Macaca fascicularis: one gene and its partner. The protein of the gene in region 2 purifies or fractionates together with the protein of the main gene of each other region. This does not show direct contact. Links are inferred from orthologs where the notes say so. Each region holds a gene or a part of one and is shown on either strand. Other genes may lie near its edges.

Region 1 (5,654 bases), on a different chromosome or scaffold from region 2:
GTGAATATCATCTTTATCTTTGAGGATGTTAGGTGGGAGCTAGTGTTTAGCCAAAGAGGGTGAGTCTGTTACAGGGAAAGTTAGGCATCGGTGGTATGTAAAAATAGGAGCCACCCCTTAAATGTTATCATTTAGGTAATCTTCCAATCGACCTGCTTAAAAAACTAACCAGGAATCAGGGCTGTTAAAGGGCTATTGAAAAACTAACCAGCAAACAGGGCTATTAAAGGTACTAGGAAGCACAGAACTGTTAAGACCATGTCCATATCTCTTGAGATTGCCCTGGGCTTTGACTGGAGAGCCCTTGTTGTTTGCTTAGCTCTACATTTGTGCAAATTGCCTCATTCTGATGGTTTTGTATTTGCCTTTCAGAGGTATATGGAGGTCAGTGGGAACCTGAGGGATTTGTATGATGATAAGGATGGGTAAGTGACAGTCACAGCTAATCTAGGAGTTAGTGCTTCTGAGGAGCCATGGTTAGAGGACTGACTTTGTGCTCTATCTTTGAAATTTTCCTGAAATTGCAGATTACGAAAGGAGGAGCTCAATGCCATTTCAGGACCCAATGAGTTTGCTGAATTCTATAATAGACTCAAGCAAATAAAGGAATTCCACCGGAAGCACCCAAATGAGGTATGTCCTCCGAAAAGTATTTTCTCCAGACCTATCTTTAAAGCATATAAAGGAAAGTATAAAGGAAACTGGACATGTGCTATTCAAATGCACTTCAAGAAAGAACTTGCCATTTAGGTGCAAGGACCATAGTTAGCTGACATCCTACAACTGCAGTGTTTTCAGCATCTCCCTCAGCTTTGAAGCCAAGGCTGGCCGGGTGCGGTGGCTCACACCTGTAATCCCAGCACTGTGGGAGGCTGAGGTCGGCGGATCACCTGAGGTCAGGAGTTCGAGACCAGCCTGACGAACATAGTGAAACCCCATCTCTACTAAAAATGCAAAAATTAGCTAGGCATGGTGGCATGCGCCTATAATCCCAGCTACTTGGGAGGCTGAGGCAAGAGAATCACTTGAACCCGGGAGGCGGAGGTTGCAGTGAGCCGAGATTGCGCCATTGCACACCATCCTGAGGGACAAGAGTGAGACTTCATCTCAAAAAAAAGCCAAGGCCACATTTCGTGGGCAGCTCCTGGCCAGTGACTAAGCACAGTATGGGTACTAGGGCCCAGCAATTTGGTCCACTGTGAGACTCCTCTGATGAGTTATCTTTGCTCCACGGCTCCCCATTGGGTGGGTCAAGATTTTGTCCAATCTGCATTGTGGTCTAGGCTATCCTGGCCTAATCCTGCTTTCTCCTCCTTTTTGTCTTTCACAGAAATTACTCCCCCCAATAAATTATGCTCCTAACTCTGTCTTTTTTTTTTTTTTTTTTGAGATGGAATCTCACTCTGTCACCCAGGCTGGAGTGCAGTGGCACGATTTCGGCTCTCTGCAAACTCCACCTCCCGAGTTCACGCCATTCTCCTGCCTCAGCCTCCTGAGTAGCTGGGACTACAGGTGCCCGCCACCACGCCCGGCTAATTTTGTGTATTTTTTAGTAGACACAGGGTTTCACCATGTTAGCCAGGATAGTCTCGATCTGCTGACCTCATAATCCACCCACCTCGGCCTCCCAAAGTGCTGGGATTACAGGCGTGAGCCACCGGGCCTAGCCCTCATATACCCTGGAGCTCACTTATAATAAGGTAGTTAAGAGAAAAAGGGCCTGGGAAGGCTTCCATCAGAAAGGTCACATGACCACTCCAGGTGGTGTTGCCTTAACAGAAGTTAAGCAAAAGAGAGTTTCAGAAAGGCAGTCATGGTGTCAACTTATTGATTGATAACTGCCAGGATTGCTGTTTCATTAAAGTAGTAGGAATGGAAATCTGGTCACAAGGTAAAGATGGGTAATGGGGAAATATAAGTATGGAGTATGGAACATGCATTTGAAAGGCTGGTAGCAGCCGGGTTCAGTGGCTCACACCTGTAATTCCAGCACTTTGGGAGGCTGAGGCAGGTGGATCACGAAGTCAAGAGTTTGAGACCAGCCTGGCCAACGTGGTGAAACCCGTCTCTACTAAAAACACAAAAATTAGCTGGGCTTGGTGGTGCACGCCTGTGATCCCAGCTTCTTGTGGGGCTGAGGCAGGAGAATCGCTTGAACCCAGGACATGGAGGTTGCAGTGAGCTGAGATCACTCTGCTGCACTCCAGCCTGGGCAACAGAGCAAGACTCCGTCAAAAAAAAAAAAAAATCTGGTAGGAAAAAGAAGGGGAGAAACAGGAGGGTATTGGGGAAGATAAAGAAGCATACTTATGGCCAGGCGCAGTGGCTCAAGCCTGTAATCCCAGCACTTTGGGAGGCTGAGACGGGCGGATCATGAGGTCAGGAGATCGAGACCATCCTGCCTAACCCGGTGAAACCCCGCCTCTACTAAAAAATACAAAAAACTAGCCAGGCGAGGTGGCGGGTGCCTGTAGTCCCAGCTACTCGGGAGGCTGAGGCACGAGAATGGCGTAAACCCGGGAGGCGGAGCTTGCAGTGAGCTGAGATCCAGCCACTGCACTCCAGCCTGGGGGACAGAGCGAGACTCCGTCTCAAAAAAAAAAAAAAAAAAAAAAAAAAAGAAGCAGCTTACTTATTTGAAGGAGCACAGGGAAAAAGGAAGAGATTAAAAACAGCAAAAAAATAGAGGCTGTTTATTGCAGTACATAGTGTGGGGGTAAACGAAGGGATCCTCACACACATAGCCCCCTTGGAGGATGGAGAGTGAGGTCTTCTGCTAACCAAGAGAGAATAAATGAATACCATTCTGATGTGTTCACCTTATTCCAGCCATGGTCAAAAGGTAACGAGGAATAAATGCTTAAATAACTGGTTAGAAGGATGCCCAAGATATACTAAGTGTCAGAAGCAAGTCTTTTATGCTAAAAAAAAATAATAAAAACGTATGCAGGCATGAATGTACTAGTACAAATACATATATTTAAATATATAGAGCACTGTTTTCCAAACTTTCTGCATATTTGAGCCACCTGGGGATCTTTAAAATGTACTGATACCTGCCTTCCTTTGATTTAATTGGTATCAGGTGCATCAGAATTAAAAAAAAAAAAACTCCCCGAGTGATTCTAATATGCAGCAAAGTTTGGGAACCACTGGCATAGGAAAAGCTCTGTTAACAGTGGTTACCTGTTCTCAGGAGAATTAATAAAGGTGGACTTTTGAGGTTTTGTGAGCATGTGTTACTTTAGTGAGTTTTACTCAAACAATACAAAAAAGCGGGGAAAAACAAGGTAATTGGAGAACAGTAGTAGCTTCCTAGTGAAAAATCAAGGCCAGATCATCAGAAGTCCAACTTTCTGTGTATTTCATTTCTGTGATCTTGCAACTTTTACATTGAAAAATCCACCTAAGGTCGGGCACAGTGGTTCATGCCTGTAATCCCAGCACTTTAGGAGGCCAAGCTGGGCAGATCACTTTAGCTTAGGAGTTTAAGACCAGCCTGGGCAACATGGCAAAACCCTGTCTCCACTAAAAATATAAGAATTAGCCAAGCATGGTGGTGCGTGCCTGTAGTCCCAGCTACTCGGGTGGCCAAAGCAGGAGAATCGCTTGAACCTGGGAAGTAGAGGTTGCAGTGAGCCAAGATTGTGCCAGTGCACTCCAGCCTGGGCAACAGAGCAGAGTCCGTCTCAAAAACAAATAAGAAAAATCCACCTGAGCTTTTACTTTTCCCCTCAGATCTGTGTGCCAATGTCAGTGGAATTTGAGGAGCTCCTGAAGGCTCGAGAGAATCCGAGTGAAGAGGCACAAAGTAAGTAGAGGTGAAAATTTCATTCGGCACCAGCAAAAGTACAGGTTAATTACAGCTCAGATTTGCAGCCATGGCCTCAGATATATTTATAGCCAGGATTTCTTGCTGGTTTCGTCTTTGCTGGTTTCTGGGCTAGAGTGACATCCTAAATTGGTCTTGGGCGCACAATGTTCATTTTGTTCTCTCCTACCTCAAATTTACTGGCTTGGAAAGCCAAGGATTGTTCACTTTAGGTCACGATACTAAAATGAGTCAGCCCTTGTTACCTTGTAAGAGAACACTCACTTTTGATCTCACTTAACTTATTGGAGGTTATATTGTGAGCAAAGGGAGGACATTTGGGTGAAGTGCTGCCTCAGGAAACTAGGAACAAGCAGTCCATTTGAAAAGGTAAGTCCAAGAGAGTGGTGTGTATAAACTGAATCATTGATGTATCTGATTCCCTCAGACTTGGTGGAGTTCACAGATGAAGAGGGATATGGTCGTTATCTCGATCTCCATGACTGTTACCTGAAGTACATTAACCTGAAGGCATCTGAGGTAAGACCTGGGAAAGGGCAGAGAGGTTCTGATTCTCGAAGTGAGTCAGGACACTAGACTGGAACTAGTAGACATAGACATGAAGCCATTGTAAAATGTCTTCCTTGTGTTTTAAAACTGTTATGTAAATATTAAAGAGGTGATACGCTTTCTTGGAATGAAATACTATTCAAAATGAAGTTTTCTACAGTGAAAACAAGCATATTTATTTATTAATAAATTTTATTTTTTTATTTTTGAGATGAGGTCTTACCATGGTGTGATCGTTGCTCACTGCAACCTCGACTTCTGGGCTCAAGTGATCCTCCCGCCTTAGCCTTCTGAGTAGTTGAGGATACAGGTGCATACCACCACCACACTTGGCTAATTTTTGTATTTTTTGTAAAGATGGGGTCTTGCAGTGTTGCCCAGGCTGGCCACAAACTCTTCACCTCAAGTGATCCTCCTGTCTCAGCCTCCCACGGTGTTGGGATTACAGGCATGAGCCACTGTACCCAGCCCATTATCAATACAACAAGCGTATTTTACCTTTGCCAAAATAAATCTTTTTTTTTTTTTTTTTTTTTTTTTTTTTTGAGACAGGGTCTCATTTTGTCACCCAGGCTGGAGTGCAGTGGCGTGATCTTGGCTCGCTGTATCCTAGACCTCCTGGACTCAAGTGATGGATCCCGCCTCAGCCCCACCAAGTACTTGGGACTACAGGCGTGTGCCACCATGCCCAGCTAGTTTTTTGTATTTTGTGTAGAGATTGAGTTTTGCCCTGTTGCCAAGGCTGGTCTCAAACTCCTGAGCTCAAGCAATCCGCCTGCCTTGGCCTCACAAAGTGTTGGGATTATAGACGTGAGCCATTGCACCCAGCCTTACATAAGATTTCTTTAAATTTTTTTTTTTTTTTTAAATAAATACCATTTTCCTGGCTGGACACAGCCACTCACGCCTGTAATCCCAGCACTTTGGGAGACCAAGGCAGGCAGATCACCTGGGGTCGGGAGTTCAAGACCAGCCTGACCAACGTGGAGAAACCCTGTCTCTACTAAAAATACAAAATTAGCTGGGCATGGTGGCACATGCCTGTAATCCTAGCTACTCAGGAGGCTGAGGCAGGAGAATCACTTGAACCCAGGAGGCGGAGGTTGCGGTGAGCCGAGATTGCGCCATTGCACTCCAGCCTGAGCAACAAGAGCAAAACTCCATCCAAAAAAAAAAATTTTTTTTGTAGAAATAGGGTTTCACTGGCTGGGCGCGGTGGCTCACACCTGTAATCCCAGCACTTTGGGAGGCCGAGGTGGGCGGATCACGAGGT
Region 2 (4,942 bases):
TTTGTATTTTTAGTAGAGATGAGGTTTCACCATGTTGGCCAGGCTGGGCTAGAACTCCTGACCTCAGGTGATCCTCCTGTCTCGGCCTCCCAAAGTGCTGGGATTACAAGCATGAGCCACCACACCCGGCTTTAGTTTTCTACCTTAGACATGAATGTTCTGGTAATTGTTTGTCTACTCATAGTTGGCGCCCAGTGCTGAAGAGCCCGCTCTTGATGGTCTAAGGCAGGAAAGATCAGATAATAATGTTGGGCTCTGTGGACCCGTGAGATCCCTGTCAGAACTACCTAACGCTGCCTGCCCTTGGAGCATAATAGGTATAGACAAATGGGTATGACTGCGTTCTAATAAAACTTCCCTTATGAACACTGAAGCTTGAATTTTACATGCTACTCATGCTTCACGGGATGTTTTTTGTATGATATTTTTTCTTTCTAATTAAAGATGTATAAACCATTTTGGATTCACAGACCTTACAAATAGAGGCTGTGAGTTGGATTTGGCCCACAGGTGGCAGTTTGCTTATCTCTGCTTTTATAAGACAGTGATAAAAATGTATAGCCATAGAACGAAAAGTAAAAGGGAGGCCTGCCTTTTCCTAACTATATAGGTAGCTTTACAACTAGTATGTCAGAAGCATTGTGTTAATAATGTACTGGGTTTTTGTTTTAGGTGGCACATTTAGAACGAACAGGGCATTACTTAACTGTGAAAGATAACCAGGTGGTTCAGTTGCATCCCTCTACTGTTCTTGACCACAAACCTGAATGGGTGCTTTATAATGAGTTTGTTCTAACAACAAAGAATTACATCCGGACATGTACAGATATCAAGCCAGAATGGTAAGTACACCTTTTGTTCTAATAGTTTTTTGTTAATACTTCACTCAAAATGGAACCCGACTGTTGCTAGAGTCATGGCCTTGCATTCACTCATTGAGGATTTATATTTCATTGTGTAGGTATGAGGGTATTGACTGGATGGTGTGGTTAATCTTTCACACCCTTCTTTTGATAAGTGGAAAGTGGGATTGTTGATACTTATGGGCAGGATTTGAAGCCAAATGTAAAGTTACATTTGAATAGCATGAAAAGTTTCTTTAGGGGCTGGGCATGGTGGCTCACACCTGTAATCCCAGGACTCTAGGAGGCCGGGGTGGGAGGATCACTTGAAACCAGGGGTTCAAGATCAGCCTGTGCAATATAGCCAGACCCCATCTCTACTAAAATATATATAGGTGTGTACAAAAATTTGCTGGGCATGGTGGTGCTGCACACCTGTAGTCCCAGCTACTGGGGAGGCTGAGGCAGGAGGATTGCTTGAGCCCGGGAGTTTGAGGTTGCAGTGAGCTGTGATCATGCCACTGTACTCCAGCCTGGGTGACAGACCCTATCTCTCAAAAATACTTTTAAAAAGGGTTTAAAAAAATTTTTTTTTTAAAAGAGTTTCTTTGGAGCCATTCTTTTGCTGTTGTGATTAACTCAAGTCAGTACTGTTTCTTGCAGAAATTTTTTTTTTTTACATTTTATTTCTCCCATTACAATTAGCTCTCAACTGTTTGTTATTTATATATTGGTTTTTAGGAATTGTGCAGGCATAAAAATGATAACTCTTTGTGTTTTAACATACTAGCTTTTACAAAATGTAGAGTGAGAACTGATTGTTTTATTTTAAGCAAAATAACCCTCACCTTCATGGTTTTTTTTATTTATGCCAGAATCTGTTCTATAACCTATGATAGGAAATGTCAGCCAAAAGTAGTGGGGCTGAAGGCATGTATTCTAGTTGCTGTCACCGCTTTATATTGTATGACTGCTTTCTTATACAGATTTGGGACTTCTGACACTTAAATTGTGTAGGACATTACCATTTTATCTGAAATGCTTTGTTGAGAAAAAAATTGTATAGCTAAACTTTATAAAATATTTCAGTCAGGTGTATTTTGGGGGTATAGAGTTACAGTTATTTAAAAAAAAATTGGAAATGAGAAGATCCAATCATTTGAATACCACGATGTTTCCTACACAGAACCTGTTACTATATCCTTGGAGCTGCAAGTTAATAGTGTGCCAGAGTAAAGAAATCAGTGACTTTATCTGTTATCCTTACATTAATGTATCTTGAGGGGTTTTTTTGTTTGTTTGTTTATGGTAAGTTCAACATCAAAAAATTTACATCTTACTAAATAAAATACTTAACACATTTCTAAAAGTGCCATTTGTAAGGATTAGTTATTTGTATTTTTATGAGACTTGAATTCATAGATTTGCCTTGGTTCATCAGTATATTAATGAATAATGCCTATCCTATTAACAACTCCAGTATTTCAATTAAATGTTAATTTGAAAATTTTTCTCCCCCTTTCTAAACAGGTTGGTGAAAATTGCCCCTCAATATTATGACATGAGCAATTTCCCACAGTGTGAAGCAAAAAGACAGTTGGACCGCATCATTGCCAAACTTCAATCCAAGGAATATTCACAGTACTGAATTCAGTGCTTAGAACTGAAGTTATTGAGAGGACAGCTTTAAAAGATGAATGAACTCAAAAGTTCGAGTTGTGCTCTTCACGTTGGTTCGATAATGGCCTTTATTTGAAAGCTTTTTAATTTTTCTTTACAGTAAATATTCCATTCTGATTTCATAAATTAAACATTTATGCCTCCCTTTTGTGTTGACACTGTAGCTCATACTGGAAAAGTCGATCAATGTTTTGCAGTTTATTGAAAGTAGTTCTATATATAACAATGTTATAAGCATTTCTTTAGAAATGGTTGAAAATGCTTCTAAAATGTGATTATCGACCATGGTATGCATGATCGTTGTAATTGTTGACATTCCTTTTAGAAGTTGTGAAATGTTACAACTTGTGCTTATGTAGACACAATCTTCTGTCTCAGTACAGAGGCACTGACTTCAATAAAGTCTATTTATACTAATTTTGGCCAAAGCCCTTTGGTATCTTTGTTCTAGTCTCTAAGTATAGCTGTTTTTCTTTTCAAGTGTGGAGCTTTTTTATTATTATAATTATACTCTTACTACATATTTAATGTCTTTCTACAAGGAGTACTCCTTCGGAAAAGTAGCTGTTAAAGCAATGTTTTTAAGAGCATGGCTTAGCGCTTTGTTAGGTTAATCAGGATGTGATCGATCTAAAAGGAGTAAAGTGTGTGTAGTGATATTTGAAATTGGACCCCAAAAGACAGAACAATGAAAGGAGAGCTCTCTACTTGTCTTAGAGTTCCTTTCATAAGGTTCATAATTTATTATCTTAACTACATTTTTGTCAGATGTTTTTATTATACTTCTAGCTTCTCAAACATATTTATGTTAGGTAAGAGGGAAGCGTATTTTACATCTGTTTTACAAAATTCTTACAGTGTGTTAAAATGTACATTTGACCTTCCATTTTCTGTGATAGGCAGTAGACAAGTTGAACACTTGTCTACATTCATTTTGGAATGAAAATTGAGGTGTTTTATGTGGCCCATAAAATGTTTTTTAATCAATTATTTTCATGTGAAGACTACTGTACTCATTAATGTCTGGACTTCCTCTTCTTCCCATCCTACCTTTATAAGTTTTTAAGCATTAAAGGAAATATATAGATGTGTGCCTGGCATTTAAATATACTTGGTAACTAGCATGTGACTTAGGGAGTTGGGCAAGTTAACTCTTTGAAGCTAACAAGTATGCTTTTTAGTGTAGGTAGGTGTTACTAAATGATGCCTAGTGGCTTGAAAAAGTTAATGTGCCTTGTATAAGTGCCTCATTTTGTTCCCATGGAATAATTTACATGGTATAATAATACTTCAGGTTATATTTAAATATTAAATGTTAGATATTTATGCAACAGCATTTTGAAATGGTTAGATATTCATGCAACATTAAGCATTGGCAACATTGTCTGCCAGAATCTCTTAAAGTTATGTTGAAAAAAATCTAAGCACTTGGTCAGACTGTTCTCACTGAAATGGCAGCTCTCACCAGAAGAATATTTTGCCTGTTAATTTAAGCTGCAAGTGTAGTTTGTGAGGAGTTGTGTATCTTTATAATCTGACCATCTAATTTTAAGTAGGTCTCAGAGTGGTGTAACGTATTATTTAATCTTGGGCTGTGTAAAATGTGAAGTTAGACCATTAGGTTTTGTTACAGAGAAACTGTTAAGTGTTAGAGTTTTCAGATATCTAGAACAAAGTTTGGTATTTGGCAGAGCTTCTAGGAATGATGGGTGTGCATTGAGAATGGCCATGTAGAAAGAGCAAGCTGAGTTTTTATCATGATGTCTATCCCCCGCCATCTCCAGTTGTTCTAGGCTACATCTAACCAAAGCTGAAAGTTCTTCTTTTTTTTTTTTTTTTTGGAGACGGAGTCTCGCTCTGCTGCCCAGGCTGGAGTTCAGTGGCGTGATCTCAGCTCACTGCAAGCTCCACCTCCTGGGTTCATGCCATTCTCCTGCCTCAGCCTCCAGAGTAGCTGGGACTACAGGCACCTGCCACCACATCTGGCTAATTTTTTTGTATTTTTAGTAGAGACGGGGTTTCATCATGTTAGCCAGGGTGGTCTCCAGCTCCTGACCTCGTGATCCACCCACCTCGGCCTCCCAAAGTGCTGGGATTATAGGCGTGAGCCACTGTGCCCGGCCTAAAACGGAAGATTCTTACCGTTGATGTTATTGACAAAGTTGTGGCTTTTAAAAATGGTCTTCTCTCAATCTCCTTATCTTACGGATTTGGCAGCTGAACACCAAAGTTGTTAGTTTCCTTTGTTCACATAGAGCTATGATTATCAAATAATTTATTTGTGGTATAGAACAAGAAAATTAAAAAAATTTTTTGAAGATTACCTGAAGAGATCACCTTCCTTATCTGTCAACTTGGAATAGGTGAACTGCTTGTTGCGATATGGTATAAGGAAAGAAGGCCATCAGCAAGTAGAACCA

The links.
Region 1: the proteins of DHX15 (region 2) and SF3A3 fractionate together in Homo sapiens (co-fractionation; 3 studies listed by BioGRID and IntAct, with this or other methods). This does not show direct contact. The link is inferred for Macaca fascicularis from reciprocal best matches to the Homo sapiens genes DHX15 and SF3A3.

What each region holds. Positions count from the first base shown.
Region 1 is NC_088375.1:196,928,173-196,933,826, forward strand, and holds part of SF3A3 (splicing factor 3A subunit 3), read left to right. Parts: intron 1-372; coding exon 373-425; intron 426-527; coding exon 528-633; intron 634-3,738; coding exon 3,739-3,811; intron 3,812-4,259; coding exon 4,260-4,351; intron 4,352-5,654. UniProt on the Homo sapiens protein: Component of the 17S U2 SnRNP complex of the spliceosome, a large ribonucleoprotein complex that removes introns from transcribed pre-mRNAs.
Region 2 is NC_088379.1:23,641,811-23,646,752, reverse strand, and holds the end of DHX15 (ATP-dependent RNA helicase DHX15), read left to right. Parts: intron 1-672; coding exon 673-842; intron 843-2,372; coding exon 2,373-2,490; 3' UTR 2,491-2,939; downstream 2,940-4,942.